2 linked regions of the Struthio camelus genome follow. The protein of the gene in region 1 interacts with the protein of each later gene in a biochemical or structural test. Links are inferred from orthologs where the notes say so. Each region holds a gene or a part of one and is shown on either strand. Other genes may lie near its edges.

Region 1 (9,881 bases):
AGTCAGTTCCACAGGGGAGTTCGGTACGCTGACAACCACCGCGACGAGATGCTGATTCTTCTTAGTCACTTGGGGCTACATTTATCTCTCATTGAAGTCGATGGAAATCGCTCCGGTGACTTCCTTAACAGTTGGATCAAGTGGTAGTACTTGCTTTCATCAGCGAACAGTTTTGTACGCATAAAGCCATTGACCAAGTTCAGTATGAATCTGTAACTGCGCTCACAAACAAAAATCTGGCATTTATTTACATGATGGAAAGGGTGGCGAGGGGAAAGAGGAGAGGAGGATCTGTGAAGAAAGAGCTTTTCTTGCCATAAAATGAATGGGAATATAAGGACCCCTTAACAGAGATGCAATTTACACCCGCCAGGAGAGCGGTTAACACATCAGGCCTATCGTTTTGCTTGATCAGTGGAACGAGTGATTGTGCTTTATTCAGTCTTTTTTAAGATGTGATCCTTTCATATACGGGATCTCGAATGTGGGATCTTTTTTCTTTGTTTGTTACTATCTGGATGTATCCAAACAGCTCAGAAAGTGTAATTACAGGCTGTTGTGCTTAGCCAGCTGCGATGCCAGTACGCAAAGACGATCTGACTACAAACTAAAAAAAAAGAAAAGAAAGGCTTCAGGAAAAGGAAACTGTAGAGATGGTTGGCTGGGCCAGAGTCAGTGCTCTCTCTCTGGCTGAGAGAGTAGATAGCTGTACTGCTTGCCCCCCCCAAACACTCCAAAAGCGCTGCATATGACAACAAGAATTCACTAAATTCTGGAGCGTCTGATTTAGTAAAGCTCCACTAAAGCTCATGGTACTTTTGGACAGGGGAATTTGGTCCTGAAATACACATCTTGCTGCACCCACTGGCAACTATGTTACCATGTTGCAAGTGGAGAAACAAAAAGTAAAATGACAGAAAGTGAAAGAGCAAACTGAAATGACTCATTTAAACTCGGGAAGCTGAAGAGGCAGGCGCAGCAGGACCAAGGGGAGAAAGCCTCTGGAAGAAGGGCACAGAAAGGGGGATGGCAGAACCCACGGACACCGTGAGGAAAAGAGAGAGAAGGGAAAGGAGGAGAGCAGAGCGGCAAAAGAAAAGGAGAAGTTGCTGTTTGAAGGAAATAGGAAAGGGAGCTATTATTGAAACAGAGCAAAAGAGATGAGGAAAGCAGAGAAGGTCTGAAAAGGAGACAACAAAGGGTTAAATTGATTGAGAAGGGATATCAGACAGTGATGGTGACAAGCAGTAAGGACAGAAATGTGAACTGAGGAGAGAAAAGCAAGGAGCAAATGAATCTTCTCTTCAGCATTAAAGAATAAAAGAAGTTAAAGTTGCGCCCTTATTGGCAGCTAATTTCCCTCTGCAAGGCACATGCCCATCCACTCGAGCAGTATTAAATATACCAAGGTAGCAGTGTTTGCCATGCAGGCTCTGTTAATATCTGTCCTCTTAACTCCGTGGCTTTTAACTCCCTTCGGTTTTTGTGGCTCTTAATGCTTCCCAGTAGAGGTCCAATGCTTCCATGGTGAATTTGATCCCAGCTACTATACTATATACATATATATTTTTTTTTTTAAATCACCTTTTGGGAGACCCTTGGAAGCAGTCCACAGATGCCCAAGGAGTCCCCAGGCAGCAACCTGAAAAGCCCTGGGCTGGATGGGAGCTACTGCTGCTGCTTCTACCACAGAATAGTCCCTTCGCTCAAGCAGTAGCAACCTCAACTTTGGAAAACATAGTCCCAAGTTTCATCACTGCTGATGGTCTGGTCAAATGTCAAACTAGTCTGAGAACTAGCGTGTGTTTTGAGGAACAGGGGTATCTTACCGCATAGGTTCAGAACTGGATGTACGGCAGAGCACAAATCATGGCAGAAGTTAATTCTCACCACGGAAATATCGAATACCTCTCCTTGGCAGAGAGTTTAATTTTGTGCTGGTTTTGCAACACGGTACATCGGAGTTCCAGAACGCTCTTTCTCATATGTGTGCCATGGAGGGAAACACTGGACCCACCAGGGCTACAGTAATACAACTAAAACCACTGAGCACACAGGGAGACCGATTTTACTCAAGATATCCCTACACGTTTAATGTACATTTCGTTGCATGTTCCCCAGACCAGATGGGTTTAGTGGAATTGTATGACCATAAAACCACACAGGATCTGGATTTTATGGTGTTATTTCGACTGAGATTGTACAGTTTCATAAATTTTAAGACAAGGGAGAGCAGAAAGCTTTCATGGTGAGGGTGCAAATCCATTGCTTAGCAGCTCTGTAGAGAACCACATTTTAGTCTTAACCAAATCCCCGCAGTGTCTGAAGCAGCGTGAAGGGATGTGGAGGCAGGATGTGGTCAGGAAAAGGTAGAGGCAGGAGTGCGCTCCTCTCCCTGCGCGGGCTGCAAGGACAACACCATGGGGTGCTCCTCGGGGTGGTGTTTTCTCCACCGAGAGAAAACCCAGTAGCTGTCCGTGCTCTGGTGAGGAGCTGCTGTGCCTGGCTCCAGGGAAGGCAGGAGTAATTAACACTGACTTCGTGGCTGCGAAATGGTTGCTGTTTCGGCAGGATTGTCCCCTGAAGTTTCTGGTAGCAGCAGACAAATGAAAGAGAAGAGCATTGGTAAACGTTTAGAGGGAGGCAAATGAAAGGTATTTAAAGCCATGTTGCAAAACGAACCTGGCGAAGAGCATTAGAGCGTCTGGTGGCTCCACTGTTTAGCTTCCTGATATTCTTTATAGTTATATGTAACTTCTGGGAGCTGGAGTCGGACCCTACATCTTTACTGAGTCAAGTTAGCTTTGGGAGCAGGATCAAACCTATGGGATACACTGGAACTTAGCTTATTTTTCCCTGTGGTTTCATTTTCTTTTTTTACAGAAGAATTTCAAGCCAGGACATGTTTCAGTGGCCTAATCTTAAATGCGCACAGGAACAATCTCTCTGTTTGTTTTGCAGGGAGGAGCTCTCTCATTTCAGAGGCAGTTGAAGAATTAACACAACTGTTTTACTGTCAATTTCTAGTTCCAAACGTAGCTCATTGTCAATAATGGTACCAGCAGTAATGAAGAAGTGTTGTATAGAAAACAAACGTATCGGTTTAGTCTTGTGTAACACAGTACTATTTCAAAAACTCAGTAATCATCTGCCTACTTGGTGCAGTGTTGTGATTGTTCGGCAAATGTTAGTGACCCTTAAACAACAGGATAAGAGTACTTATTTTCCAAAGGTACTTCTAACCACATAGAAGGAGGGAATTGCTTTTTTTTCACCTTTACTATTCTGTGGCATTGCTCTACTTAGCTAAAAATACTCTAAGTTTCCATTTATGATACAGCTAGTAAAATAAGAATGGACAGTTGCTAAATCTTCTCTGTCAGAATTACAGCAAGCACCTGGTCATGACCACTAAAACTAATGTTGCTAAACCGTTTCCACAATAACTTCATGCTCAGAACTTTCCAACCAATTATCTTTTGAGATGAAATTTTCCACATTTGGCCTCCTTCGGGAGTAATACTTTTTCCTTTGGGTTTGAGAAAAATGACGCCAGCTGTTTTCGAGTGGGGCATGAATGGTAAAATTATGCCTTTGTAGTAATAAAAATTTCACAGACTGTACCAAGCTGAAAAGCAAAACTTGCTCTAGACCCCTGTGAAGAGCAAAGTTTTTGCCTGGAATTGTATTTGCCATTGATTTACATAGATTAACAAAGATAAGATAATAAACATGTTTTGAAAGAGCTGAGATTGATTTATCTATAGGCGAGTACTTGAGCCTACAGCTAGAAAAGCCTATAGTTTGCAAGAGTTGCAAACTGAGGGCTGCCAGGTAGGTCAGAGGAGCTCATTACGGCGTCCTCAAAGTGCCTTTCATCGTTTGAGGAGAGCAGGGAACAACTGTACCTACTGCAAGAGGAAAGCGAACATCGTTAGTCCAAGCTCTCTTTTCCTTTCCCACCAGATTTTCTTTCCTTTTTTTTTTTTTCTCCAAAGCAGACAATGAAGTATAAAATAGTGTTAAGATTGTGAAGTTGAGCATGCAAGCGTGGTGCCATTTAAAAAGCTAAGACTGCTATTCATGTCTATGCGACCAATGTACACACATTTAGGTATTTACATGCGTACACAGGCAGTCACACACGGAGGGGAGATACAAACCCACGGACGTTACATCAACTGGAATGTAATACCCTTGTTAAAATGCTCCAAGCAATTAGTACATCCCAGAATAAACAACTGGAGACATATTATCATAATACAGCCTCATTGAACTTTATGAAATTGATTAACTTTTTGGAACACTGTTGTTCAGGGTATAAGTTGTAGCTATAAATAAATGTATCAGTTAATACAGTTAGGACATCCTCAAGCTTTTAAATGTCCTGATCTTTCCGTACTTGGTACATAAGAAAGAGACCTGAAGACTTTGTTAACGGCCGTTTTTGCACCTCTGGAATATGCTTGTGTTGGATAACAGCGTGGGTGCATCTGCCCTTGCAAGCGTTGTGCGCCTCCTTTGGGCAAGCGTTTCTTTGACAGATCTATGTTCCAGCACTTTGGGGGCTGGTGGAGGCAATTTCTGTTGTTTAACGAATCAGGAAGCTACGAAAACAGAACAGAACAGAACAAAACCCCCTTCACCACAGCCAACACCGCCATGCTTCCCTGTCTCCTACGGCGGACTCTTTGGTTTTCCCTGAAAGCATAAGGACATCGTGAGCTGACGTGTTTTAAGAAAAGGATTTTTTGTTATTTGTTATTAGCTTCCTGTCATGCCATTGAATGGGTCTTTCCTCCTCAGGGTAAAAAGTGAAGTCGTCCTCTTCCACATGTAAACTGAACTTTTCGCTGACATTTGAAGCAGGACGGGGAGAAGGATGCGTGGGAGGAGGGGAGGGCTGAGCAATTTTTCAGTGAAGTAGGATCACATTTTTCAGCCCTTTTGAAAAAAATCTTCCCTTATTTTCACTTTCTCTAAGTGTGGTGAAAGGCTCTTTGGCTCGTTCTGGATCAGCAGAAGGCGTCCCACCCGCCGAAAGACGCCCCCCGACTGGCGGGGGAAGGATGAAAGCAGGACGGGAGAAGCGAAGCGGGAGAGCGCTCGCGGGGCCGGCGGAGCGCACGGGGCCCCCCCGCTACCGCCGCCCGGCCCTCCCGGACCCCGGGGCCGCCCCGGGCGCCCCCTCCCCTGCCTTCCTCTCCCCTGCTCGTCCCGTCGCTCGCGGCCCGGCACGCAGGTGCGGGGCGACCATCCGGCGGCGCGGCGCGGCGCGGCGCGGCTCGGCGCGGCGCGGCTCGGCGCGGCGCGGCTCGGCTCGGCGCGGCGCGGCTCGGCTCGGCACGGCACGGCACGGCTCGGCTCGGATCGGCGCGGCTCGGCTCGGCACGGCTCGGCTCGGCTCAGCGCGGCACGGCTCGACTCGGCTCGACTCGACTCGGCTCGGCTCGGCTCGGCTCGGCTCGGCTCGGCGCAGCTTGGCTCAGCGCGGCACAGCACGGCGCGGCACGGCTCGGCGCGGCTCGCTCGTCTTATGGTGCGCGCTCCGTGCCGCGCCGGGCCGGGCCGGGCCGGGCCGAGCCGTGCGGAGCCGTGCGGTGCGGTGCCGCCCCGCCCCCGGGCCGGCGGGGCCGCCTTGCATCACCGCCGCGGGCCCCCGCGCCCCCCCCGCCGCCCTCTCTCCCGCGGCGGCTATTAATAGCATGACATCAGCCCGGGACTCGCCGCCAGAGTAAATACCAGCGCTGCCCACTCGGCTATATAAGGGGGGTGATGCAACCGCGGCGAGAGGCAGAGGCGCGGCGAGCGGTGAGCGGGCGCTGCTCTCCCGGCGGCGGCGGAGCAGCAGCAGCAGCAGCAGCGCGGACGGCGGAGCGCGGACTGCCGCGGCCGGGGCAGCGCCGCGGGGCAGGCGCGGAGCCCGCTCCCTCCGGACCCTCCCGGGGCTGGGAAACCGGCGGCGGCGGCAGAGAGGTAGGTGAGAGCGGAGACGGTCGCGGGGACCCCTGGCCGGCGGGGGCGCAGCCCGCCGCGCTGCCGCCCGCCGCCCGGCGCGGAGAGGCGCCCCGGGGCCGGTCCCGACGAGCCGGGCGGAGCGGAGCTGGGACCGGCGCCCCCGGCCCGGCCGGGCCCCCGCGCCGCTGCCGGGGGGAGCCCGCCGGCCGCTGCCCCGGTGGCGGCAGTGCGGGGCGGCCCCGCGGCTGCTGCCCGCGCCCGGCCCGCGGGGATGCCCGGTCCCGGCTCCGGCGGCGGCGGCGCCCTGGGAGCGGCAGCGAGCGCCGTGCGATCTCGCCGCGCTCACTTTTCCCTCCGTGCCGGTGACCGCCGCGGAGAAGAGCGGTTGCTGAACTGTTGCCTAATCGAGTCAGGCGTGACACAACAGAAAACTTGCTAGAGAGAAGGAGTTTCCTGCCCGAAATCGATTCCCTTCGTAGTAAGAGCGTTTGAGGAGCTGGAAGCCAGCAGAGAGTGACTCGGGAATGATGTGGGATGTCAGAAGGCTTAAGGTCAACCAGCGTGCACAGAGGTTGCGAACTGTAATTGCCCTTAATGCTATTTAAGATTAACCTCAATGGTTATCGGGGTTTATTGCATCAGCACCAGAGGAAAAGGAATTTGTGTGAAGAAATAAAACCAAGAGGCTCAGTCAGCCGTGTACAGCTAAGCCAAAGAGAAAAGACTTGAAGCAGTCACTTATAGTATCAGTATTAAACTACAATACGCTTAAGTAATAGAGCCGGGGACCTCACAGCTAGGCACTGCATCCTGAAATTAAAATATTGTCCAACGAGATGTAAAAGTTCAGTGTAGGTGGAAGGAATCATCAGTAAAAGAACAAACAAAAAGTAGGGAGGGAACAACTCTCTAAAGTTGTTTGAGCCTACCAGAATTTGGAGGGAGCCATTAAGAGAAAAGCTGTTAACTGTCGAACTAGGGATAAGGCAAGGAAGCATTAACTCACACTGGGAGGGAGCTGTGCCTTTACCGGCCAGGTCTGTGACCTGTTCAGCACCTTCAGCAGCCAAGGGTTTCAGAGGTGTTCGGGGCAGCCTGGAGCCCAGGGCCACGCGCGCCCCTGCTCTGGCAGAGCAAACAGCAACGCTATCGGAAAGGCCCCAGTGTGCTCACCCTGTAAGGTTAGACAGTCCTGTTCCTGGTATTTCCCCAACTGTTTTAGGTTCTTTACAAACCCGAAGAAAATGGTACACTGCTTTTGATAGCTTATCGAGAGAGATAACGTTTGGACAAAAACTGGGAGAAAGGAAGGGAGGGCAAACTGTTGCATTTTTTTAATAACAAAATCTAATTTTTATTCTTGTAAAACATTTCTAAAAGCAGAACTCTTCTTCAGAAACAGGAAAATATCTACCTTACTGTTAAGAAAAGGAAATCTATTTAGCCTACTAGGTAGCTTTGAGACAAGGCTGAATATTTTTATTATTTATACCATGGTGGGTCCTACAGCTCTCAGGGCTGGAGAGGAGCCCTACCATGCTAGACACTGTCCACAAGCCCTGCTGCGGAGCCCCGAGCAGCGAACCGGCGGCACATAGCTCCACGAAATGGGAGTCGGCTGATGGCAGAAATCCTCACGCAAACCTCAGCCCCCCGGTAGGCCCTCCCTTCCCTAAAGTCTGAGTCAATAGAGGTGCCTTTCAGGATGTTGAGAAGGTCAGTGAGCTGCTCCGGCAGGAGAGCAGCAAGTTTCTACAGCCAAGGACACTTCCTTCTCCGTGCTTCCCCTTCGGGTGGCCACCTTCCCACTCCCCTTTTTTCTTTTTAAACCGAGGGGAGACCGACTGGAGTACCTGAGGATATTATAGTACAGTACAGTACTTACTGCTGCCAGTGCTACCCTTAGCACTAACAGAAATCCGGTGTGAACAGTGTTTCTCAGGCACTTGGCTGAAATATGAACATTCTTGGTTTCCTCTGGTGAGGAATATATGAGTAAAGGAATAAACCACCAGTGCTGGGAAACTGTGAGCCCAATTAATTATTTTGTAGGTTGTTACTGTTAATTTAAGAGTCCTGATTTGAGTGCATTAAACATAATTGACGTTGTCAAATGGAACCATCTCCGGGAGCCAAAGAGACTGACAGTCAGCAAACAGAGCTGCTAGCAATGAGGGGTTCAGCGCTATCTGGACTTAGCCTGTTTCAATGTGTTGAATGGTTGCCTGTTGGTAAATGGTAGATAATGTTGGGAGAAGTTTAGCTGGAAATTATAGGGATGTTTCTGACTTGTTGGAAAAGAGTAACTGCTTGCTTTCTGAAATTATAGGATTAAACTGTATCAGTACTTTAAACGTGACTCATGAGCAGGGGCTTTCTGGAGAGAATTACATAAATTTCCCAAGGTCTCTCTGAATAACAAATTGTTCCAAATAATTTCCCCGTCTTTAGTAACTAAAGGTGAAATCCGGGCCCCACTGAGGTCAACAGAAAAACTCCTTTTGACTGCAGTAGGTTCAGGATTTCACCTCCAGAATGTGGGAAAACTTCGGCTATTCTGTGGTCACCGAGTCTGAAAGCGAGGGGACCTGTGCAGCCGGACAGTGTCATTCTCTCCCATCAGGCAATTCGCTGTCCTCAGGATTTGTATTTACCTCACTTAGCAATGAACCAGCCTCTACTCTGACTTACAGCAGGGTGGATTTACGGTACACTTTTAGATAGCTCTGAGCAAAATCTATCTTCCTGTCAAGGCGCGTGATGCCCAGACGTTTCTTGCTGTGTTACACAGGTAGCATACAGGGAACTGTGCAGCTCTGGGCTGACTATGCGGAAATTTAACTTACCCACATTGCTACCCTGAGGCAGCTACTTGCTTACCTGCATTAAGTTAATTATAATTGACTTTGCTGTAATTATTGCAATTCTAGTCAAGAGTAGATAGCACATATTGTAATTACCCCAACAGCTATTTAAAAAAGAAAAACCCCAAAACAAAAAAACAGAAACCTACACAAATGAGGAAAAGGAAAAACAGCATGGTCAAATCCAATTTAAAACAAGTTGCTTTATGCATAAGAGGAGTAATATAATCTGATTCCATATGGATTTGCAGCTTTTGTCCCTCAGCCCAGACCTGTTATGACACCTCTTCTGGGCGAGGGACAGGGCATGTCGTGCAGGGCCGGGTGCGCTGGCCGGCTGGGGCACCCGTGGCGTTTGGTGGCTTGCTGCTGAGCTCTGCCTGCCTCTCCCTCAGCGGGGACACCATTTTTCACAAAGCGTGTAGGGGGCCTTTCTCCCTCTTCCAAATTCGGTTGTCGTTGCCCAACCAGCTTAAAAAATACATGAGGATGACTAAGAAGAGGAACCCGGAGAGCACCGTGGGCCAGGTTCATTTCCTTAGGAAAATTGCTAGAAATAAGGGAGAGGTTTCTCCATGGGTGTCTATTAGCATAATTCCGCTGAAGTCTCTTCAGTTACACTGTTTTATATCAGCAGGAGATCTGGCCATAAATATTTAAGAATTTAAAACCCTTGTGGAGGGCATTTGAGGACAGTTTCAGATTTTACAAGAGCAAAGGAATGAAACAAATGACTTCACATTCTTCATGACTTCTTGCCCCTAGCTCAGTCTGTGCTTTGAAAGTCCATCTTCATGTTTGTGCCAACTCCTATTTAGGAGTTTATAACCAGATCTTAACAGTCTTGTGTAAAAATGAACATGATGATTTTCTGGCAGGTTCTGCCCTTGCTCAGAAGACTTCAGCTTCTAGTAGAGCTGTTCTAACTTTACCTAAAGGTAGCTGAGATCAAACTTTGCTCTGTCCTTTTCAAGCTGGAATTTGATGGTTTAGCTCTGAGGATGGAGATACTCCTAACCTGATTCTGTATTTTAAATAATAGTAATGTTTGCCACACAT
Region 2 (8,684 bases), on another chromosome or scaffold:
CCTCAGGATTACCATGCGTTCAAAAGTGTTAAATTTCTAGTCTTTAGTTAGCTATTCAATGCCAGAATCATGTTGCTTGGAAGCCCCTCACAGTCTAATCTGGTAAAGTGAAGTTCACTTCTTTTACTCAGAAAATTTGTAATTGGAAATACTTTAAAACAAAAAAAAAAAATCACTTACGGTAGAGGACCTAACTTCAGTCTTTTCCTGAGAGTGAAAATGCTGTTTAGTTCTTCAGGGTCATCAGGTTTAATTTAGTGTTATCCTGTATAGTGTTTTAAGAACTAAGGCAAACACTTTTTCAGGATGGTTTGTTTTGTTTTTATACTTGAAACTTGGGAAACTTGTTGCATTTGTAACAGATGCAAACACTTTGATTTAACAACACTGAGCTTGAGAATGTTGTATCTTTACGTGAGTGGTCTTAAGGGTTCATTTTTAAAAAAAAACAAAAATTTAAGCCATCTCCTTTCTGGCTGGTCCGTTCTGTCTCTCTCCTGTGCCTTAGAGCACAGGCTAAGGGGAGAGCTTGGGATGAATGTTGCATTGGCCTTTGTAAGGGCTGTTTTCCATAGAGCTTTGTTGTAAATAAGGGATTCTCAATTAGTAGTATTTCTCCTTTGACTTCAGTTTAGAAGTTTCCTTTAAAGGAAAGGGGTTTTTATGTTTTACTGTGGAAGGCTAATATGCCCCTTACTCTATATTGCTTTTTCTTTCCTTTTTTTTCCCTGAAAAGCAGTTGGAACCGTTAAGTTTAAATTTTTTTTGCTTTGAATATTCTCTCCCTTGTGCCTGTGACATGAAGTCTTGCAGTCAGATTCCTGAGTTGAGACTGTTTGTTTGTTTGTTTTAAAGCTTATTTCTCATGGTGTGTAGTGATTGACTTCACTATAAGTACCTGTCATTTCATTTTCTACTAACTGTCCAGATATCTTTCCTTGGGGCCAGAGACCAGAGTGTGAACGTGCCCCTCTTGTAGGTCAGCAGGAAAGTTCCTGTGAATTTCCAGGTCAGGTTGCTTAAAGTCTTCCATCTCAAAGGTGCAGTGTCCCATGAGCAAAACGTACCTGCAGAATATCCTGGCTGATCTGAACTGAAACCCTGTGTAGGGTTACCGGGGGAAGAACGAGGCTGTAGATCTTGCCTCCACTTCCTGAATGACTATGTTTAATTTGAAGGTAAAAGCAGATACTGTGAGCAACTTGGGGGGGGGGGGGGTGTTGGGTTTTTTTACAACGGACTCCCATATTGAGGTCCACTCTGTCATCATCGCTGTTTTGAAGAGAAAGTAAGTGAAGTGCACGCTTTTCTATCTACTTATTTTTTTGAATGATTACAGAATTTTTGCTGAGTGGTGAGTAGGAATAAATCGCCAACCTGTAGAAAATGACTTCCTTCCTGTGTCTGCAACAAAGCTGGGCCTTACCAAACCCTTGTAAAAACCCTTCTTCTATCACTAGCATAAAGAATAAACAGCCAAGCAGACTGGCTAAACCTCTGGTCTCTAAAACCAGCTGCTGCGTGTTCTGCGTGGCTACCTTTCGTCAGCGTGGCCTCTGTTCCTCGGAGCGTCGGCAGCGAAAGCCCCATCCCAAGCGAGGCTCTTCTGCCAAGAAGCGAACTCCAGGCAGTGGGAACAGGGCACATGTGTCCTCCCTCCTGGAAACTCCGTCTCAAAGTAAACACCAATGTGGCATTTTAACAAAGCACAGGCTGAGCCCTGTGTCAGACTTTCCCTTCCCAACCTGCTCCCTCCCTTTCTCGTCCCTGCCTCCAGCCACAGAAACCCCATGTGTTACAGCTGCCCTAATGAAAAAGGAAACAACTGCAGTAGTGTCTGGATTTACGGTCTGTTCTGGCCAGATAATGTTCGTTGGAACAATGGGACCTTTGGCTTCGGCTCAGGGTAGAGTCCTCTAAGCGCGCCTTATCTCCTCGCGAAGCTTGGGGTCGGGCGTTTTAGCTCATTAAGTTCTGCTTTTGTTTAATTACAACCGTGCTCCTTATCGGTGTTCCCTTACTGCCTCCCCCTTCTTTGCATCCTGGGCCATGTTCTTTCCACCTCTTTGGGAGTGTTTTCAGGCCGAGCCGTCGCACGCGACGCGGCGGCAGGTTCTGTGTCGGAGATAACCGCGCGCGAGGGGCATCCAGCCCTTCTGTCGACGCAGAGCTAGTCTGCGGTTTCGGTCCTTCCTGCACGCTCCCCAAACTGCCTTCCTGTCCCAAAAAGGGTGGCCGAGGCCGGCGTGCGGCAAACAAACCCGGGCGCTCCAATCCGGCCCCATCGCAGCGTCTGAAACGAACGCAAGGAGGAGCGAGATAAAAGCGACAGCCGGAGAGGAGGGAAAAGGTCTAAGACGCGATGCCGGCGTGGACACGCGCGGCCTGGCAGGGCGAGCGGCCCCCGGCCGGAAAACCGGGGTGGGTCGGGGGGGCTGCACGGCGGGAAGCGGCCCCGCGCTCGTGTTCGCACGGGGCCGGCGAGCCGCTGGCGGCGCGGCGCGGCCGGCCGTGACTCATGCTTGTGTGCCTGCGTCTGGGAGACAGCACAGGAATAGTTACACGCCAGCCGCCTGCAACGCGGAGGGAGTGGCCGCTGAAATATTTCAAGGCTGCGCTAAGCAACTAAAAATACACGTCAAATCCTCCTCCTCATTTTCCTTTTTAATGTGTTTTTTTTTTTTTTTGTCTTTTTCTGATTGTTGCAAGCCCCTGGTGCCCGGGGGCAGCGCGGCCCCCTCGGCGGCTGGCGAGCCCTCGCGCCCCGGCTCGCTGCCCTCCCTGCCGCGATGACTAAGACGCCGCTTCCCTTGCGCGCGCGCGGGGCAGCCAACGCTCTGCTGGCCGTTCCCTTTTTCGGGGTAGCGGGGCCGGGAGGCAGGTGCTGGCCGGAGCGCCTGCTCTTCCTCCACGTGCAGCCTGGTCGTCGAGCGGCGGCGCGGCCGGGGTTTCGGGCTGGCGCGGCGGCTTTCTCTGCGGTGGCGGGGGAGCCCGGCTCTGCGCGCAGCCCGCTGCCCTCGGGGAGCTGCTCCCGCTCCCCTGGCCAAGGGGCACCGAGCCGCTCCGGGGCCGTTTGCACCCGCTGGAGCTGCCGCGGCTGCACCCGCTGCCGAGGAGGAAGAGCGAGGATCTCCGCCGTGGGGCTGGGAGGAAGAGCGGCGGCGCGGCCGGGCACCGGGGTAAACGCAGCCCCGCTGGCAGGCGGCGGGCCGAGCGCGAGCGGGAACAGCAGCCGGGACGCGGGCTCGGCGTCCTCCGGGTCACCGGCCGCCGCTTCCCAGGGCAGGCGGCAGGGCCTAATTAAACGCTCGTTAGGAAAAACGAAGGGCTGTGCTGCAAGCCGGTGCCGCGGGCGGCGCGGGTGCCCCGGCGGGGTTGCGCGGGGCCGGGCCGGAGCGCGGCTCGCGTCGCTGGCCGCCGGCCAGCCCCCCTTGCAGCGAGGCCCGGGGGCCGCTCGTTCCTCTCTGTAACTGATTAAAGCACCTAAAACCAAAGCTGTTTCTCATTTTGGCTGGCTGCGGCGGGGAGGGGGCGGCGGGGTGCCCGCGGGGGCGCGCGCTGGGTGCTCTCGGCGAGGCGCAGGGTGCACAGGGGGTGCACGCAGGGTGCTCTCGGTGAGGTGCAGGGGGTGCACGCGGGGTGCTCTTGGCAAGGCGCAGCATGCACGAGGGGTGCACAGTGGGTGCACGCCGGGTGCTCGGCAAGGCATGGCACGCGCAGTGGGTGCGCAGGGGTGCACGCCGGGTGCTCTCGGCAAGGCGCAGTGTGCACAAGGGGCGTGCAGGGAGCATGCCGGGTGCTCTCGGCGAGGCACTGCATGCGCAGGGGCGCGCGGGGGGTGCACGCCGGGTGCTCTCGGCGAGGCGTGCACGAGGTGCGCGGGGGGTGCACGCCGGGTGCTCTCGGCGAGGCGCGCACAAGGGGCGCGCAGGGGGTGCACAACGGGTGCTCTCGGCGAGGCGCGGCGTGCACAGGGGCGCGCGGGGGGTGCACGGTGGGTGCTCTCGGCGAGGCGCGCACGAGGGGTGCGCAGGGGGTGCACGCCGGGTGCTCTCGGCGAGGCGCGCACGAGGTGCGCGGGGGGTGCACGCCGGGTGCTCTCGGCGAGGCGCGCACGAGGGGCGCGCGGGGGTGCACGGTGGGTGCTCTCGGCGAGGCGCGGCGTGCACAGGGGTGCGCGGGGGGTGCACGCCGGGTGCTCTCGGCGAGGCGCGCACGAGGGGCGCGCGGGGGGTGCACGGCGGGTGCTCTCGGCGCGGCGTGCACAGGGGTGCGCGGGGGGTGCACGCCGGGTGCTCTCGGCGAGGCGCGCACGAGGGGCGCGCGGGGGGTGCACGCCGGGTGCTCTCGGCGAGGCGCGCACGAGGGGCGCGCGGGGGGTGCACGCCGGGTGCTCTCGGCGCGGCGCGGCGTGCACAGGGGTGCGCAGGGGGTGCACGCCGGGTGCTCTCGGTGAGGCGCGGCGTGCACGAGGGGCGCGTGGGGGGTGCACGGCGGGTGCTCTCGGCGAGGCGCGGCGTGCACAGGGGTGCGCAGGGGGTGCACGCCGGGTGCTCTCGGCGAGGCGCGGCGTGCACGAGGGGTGCGCAGGGGGTGCACGGCGGGTGCTCTCAGCGAGGCGCGGCGTGCACAGGGGTGCGCAGGGGGTGCACGCCGGGTGCTCTCGGCGAGGCGCGGCGTGCACGAGGGGTGCGCGGGGGGTGCACGCCGGGTGCTCTCAGCGAGGCGCGGCGTGCACGAGGGGCGCGCGGGGGGTGCACAACGGGTGCTCTCGGCGAGGTGTGCACAGGGGTGCGCAGGGGGTGCACGCCGGGTGCTCTCGGCGCGGCGCGGCGTGCACAGGGGTGCGCAGGGGGCACGCGCCGCGCCGGGCTCCGGGCTGCCCCACGAGCGTCCCCCCGAGCCCGCAGGGAGCCGGCCCGCGCCCTTCCCTCCCCTCCCCGCGCTCGCTCGCCGCCCGCGTTTCGCCAGGACGGAAAGTCCGAACCCGCTAACGCGGCCGCGCCCCGTAACGCGCCCAGCTCCGGCACGGACTCGAGGGCGGACACGCGTGGGAGGCGCCCGCGCGTGCCTCGGGGCCGCGCGCCCGCGTGGGCGGCCCTCCCCGCGGACACGCGCGCGCCCTCCTCCCCCGGCCGGCCCCCCCCTTCCTCCCACCCCCCCACGCGCGCTGCGCCGCGCGCCGCTCCACGCGGAGCCGCTCTGACGTCACCGCTGACGCCGATCCGCCCCCTCAGCCGCCCGCGGCGCGGCGCGGCCCGGCCCGACCCGAGCGTGACGCGCGGCCCCGGCTCCGCTTTAACTCCTTCGCCGCCGTCCGCCCCGTCGGGGGGGGGGGGTGGAGCCGGGCCCACGCGGGACGGCGGCGGCGGGGGGGGCCCGGCACGCACGCCGTGGCCGCGGTTCCCCCGGGGGAGGGCAGGGCCGCGGCCGCAGGTAGCGCCCGAAAGGGGGCCGAGGCGCCGGTAAAGACGAGCCCCGGCCGGGACCCCCCCGCTGCCGTCGGGGGTGGGTGGGGGGGGGAGCGCGGCCCGCCCCCCGGGCCGGTTTTCGGTTGTTCTTCGCAGCCTTTTTCCGGTGCCCGCCCCCGCTCGGCCTGGCGTGAGAGCCATGAGTTGTGTCCGGTCTCAGCACCTCCACCGGGGAAGCACCGGCTGCCCCGGGGAGCGTGCACGGGGCCGGATGCCCGGTGGAGGATGCACGGGGAGCGGAGGGGTGCCCGGTACCACCCGTCGGTACCGGTGCTGTTCTCCCCCCCCCCCCCAACCTTTGTGCCTATAAATACCGGCGGCGGGCGCGCGGCGCGGGGCCACGTGACCGCCCCTCCCCCCCCCGCCATGACGTCAGCCCAGGGGCCCTCGCGCTGTTGTGCCGTTTACCCGCCGGTCGCCCCGGCGACGGCGGAGCCAAAAGTGGGCGGGGCGACTCCCCCCTCCGCCCCCCTCCCTCCCCGCGCCGCTTCCCGGGACGGCGGGCCGGGAGAGTGGGGGGGAGGGGCGGGAAGAGCAGCGGGCGAGGCCCCGCCCCCTCCATGCAAATGTGGGCGGGCAAGGACGTCATCTGCAGCCAATGGGGGCGCGGTTCGGTGAGGTCACCGCGGCGGCGCCGCGTACTTAAGGCGGCGCGGGGGCCGGGGCGGCGGCAGACGCGTGTGCGCGCGCGCGCAGCACCGGGGCTGCGGCCGGTGCTACCGGGGCTTCCCCCCCCCCACCCTCCCCTTTCCCCCCCCGGCAGCGCTCGCCTCGGGCCGCCTTCCCTTCCCCCTCTGTGTTGTTGTTTGCTTTTTTTTTTTTTCCCCCCCTCCTCCTTGTTTTCCTTCCCCCCCGCCCCGTCCCCCGCAGCCGGGCGGGGGAGGAGGATGGAAACACCCTTCTACCATGATGATGTGTTGAGCGGCCTCGGCAGCGGCTTCGCCCCGTCCTCCGGTAGCACCGGGCTCCTCCTGCCCTTCCCCGGCGGCAGCATGATGAAGAAAGACGGGCTCGGGTTGGCGCTGCCGGAGCAGGTGGCGGCGGCGCTGAAGGCGCCCGGGGCGGCGGCGGCGGCGACGGCGGGGCCGGCGGGCGGCGAAGCGGCGGCGGCGGTGGGGCTGCTGGGCTCGGCCGAGCTGGGGCTGCTGAAACTGGCGTCGCCCGAGCTGGAGCGTCTCATCATCCAGTCCAACGGGTTGGTGACCACCACGCCGACCAGCGGGCAGTTCCTCTACTCCAAGGCGGCCGCTTCCGAGGAGCAGGAGTTCGCCGAGGGCTTCGTCAAGGCGTTGGAGGACTTGCACAAGCAGAACCAGCTGGGTACCGGTACCGGCGCGGTGGCGGCGGGAGGCGGTGGCGGCGGCGGTGGTGGCGGAGGAGGAGGAACCGGTGGGGCAGAGCTGCCCGCCGCCGGCTTGGCCCCGCCGCCCGAGCCGCCCGTCTACGCCAACCTCAGCAGCTACCCGACGGTGAGCTACGCCGCCGAGCCGGGCCCCTTCGCGGCACCGCCGCCGCGGCTGCCGCCGCCGCCTCCTCCTCCTCCTCCTCCTCCGCTGAAGGACGAGCCGCAGATCGTGCCGGAGGTGTCGAGCTTCGGCGAGAGCCCGCCGCTGTCGCCCATCGACATGGACACGCAGGAGCGCATCAAGGCGGAGCGGAAGCGGCTGCGGAACCGCATCGCCGCCTCCAAGTGCCGCAAGAGGAAGCTGGAGCGCATCTCCCGCCTGGAGGAGAAGGTGAAGAGCCTCAAGAGCCAGAACACGGAGCTGGCCTCCACCGCCAGCCTGCTCCGCGAGCAGGTGGCCCAGCTCAAGCAGAAGGTGCTCAGCCACGTCAACAGCGGCTGCCAGCTCCTGCCCCAGCACCAGCACCAGGTCCCCGCGTACTGAGGGTGCCGCCCCGCTGCGCCTCCGCCGCGGACTTTGCAGCGAGGGGTGCTCGGACGCCCCCTCGGATGGACCTGATTGGGGGGGGGGGGGGGGACGGACGGGGGCATTTCCCCCCCCCCCTCCACCTTTTGCCGCGCCGGCGCTGCTGGTGTGGACTGAGAGCAGCGTGGTGGAACACCCCCCCCTTTCTTCCTCCTCCTCCTCCTCTTCTTCCTCGGCCCGCTGTGGACTTAGCGCCCTCCCCGCCGTCGGGGCTGGGCTCTCCGGGCTGGAAAACCCCCATGGACTTGGAGGTACCAGGCGGGGGGGGGTGAGGGAGAGGACCCCCCCCCCCAGCCTTTCCACCGCGCTGCCCTTCCCGGGCACGGACTGGAGCAAAGGGGTCCGACCCCCGTCGGACTGAGGGGGCACCGGGACCCCCACAACTTCCCCCCCCCCCACGACGGACTGAGGGGGCGCTGGGACCCCTCCGACCCCCACGATGAACTGAGGGGGGCGCCGGGACCCACCTGATGGACTGAGGGGGCTCCATGACCCCCGATCCCTCCTTCCCCCCCCCACAACGGACTGAGGGGGGCGCCGGGACCCCCCCCCCCCGACCCCCGACGGGCCTCGGCGGCCGCGCCCGGGATGGCGGCGGCGGCGGCCCCGCGCCCGCCACATTCCAGTGAGGCCCCAGTAAAGCCCGCGCCGGGAGCTGCCGCCTCTCGCTGTCTGCTTCGCCACCGGGGGGGGGGGGAACCGGGGCGGGGGGGGGGACCGGGAAGGTTGGGGGGGGGCGCGGCGGGAGTTTTGGGGGTGGGGGGGGGGGGAAGGCCGGGCCTGCGCCGCCGGCGCCACAGGCCGGGCAGGAAGCGGCGCGGCGGCCGGCTGCCATCTTGGGGCGAAGGGGCTTGTGGGACGGTGGGGGTGTGGGAGGGGGCGGCTGGGGGGTCCCCGCGGGCGGTGGGGGTGTGGGGGGGATTTGGGGGTCGTGGGGGGGGGGAGCTCGTGGGGCTGGAGTGGGGGCCCTGGGGTCGTCGGGGGGGTCCTGTGGGTGTCATGGGGGGTCTCCAGGTGTCCCCGTGGGTGTTGGGGGTGGGTTTTGGGGTCCTGCTGGGGGTGATGGGGGCTCTAGGGTTGTGGGGGGTTGTGGGGGGGTCGCAGGGGGCTCTCCAGTTGTGGGGGGTCCTGTGGGTGTTGTGGGGGGGGCTCCAGGGTTGCCAGAGGTCCCCATGGGTGTTGTTGGGGGGGGGTTGGGGCCCTGCTGGGGGTCACGGGGGGCTCTAGGGTCTTGAGGGGGTCTCTTGGGCTGGAGGGGAGGCCCTGGGGTCCTGTGGGTGTC

Evidence for each region.
Region 2: the proteins of ATF3 (region 1) and JUND form a complex in vitro, tested with the Homo sapiens proteins (2 studies listed by BioGRID and IntAct, with this or other methods). The link is inferred for Struthio camelus from reciprocal best matches to the Homo sapiens genes ATF3 and JUND.

Annotation. Positions count from the first base shown.
Region 1 is NC_090944.1:114,229,090-114,238,970, forward strand, and holds the start of ATF3 (cyclic AMP-dependent transcription factor ATF-3), read left to right. Parts: upstream 1-5,788; 5' UTR 5,789-5,976; intron 5,977-9,881.
Region 2 is NC_090967.1:5,773,733-5,782,416, reverse strand, and holds JUND (transcription factor JunD), read left to right. Parts: upstream 1-5,485; 5' UTR 5,486-6,031; coding exon 6,032-7,360; 3' UTR 7,361-7,440; downstream 7,441-8,684. UniProt on the Homo sapiens protein: Transcription factor binding AP-1 sites.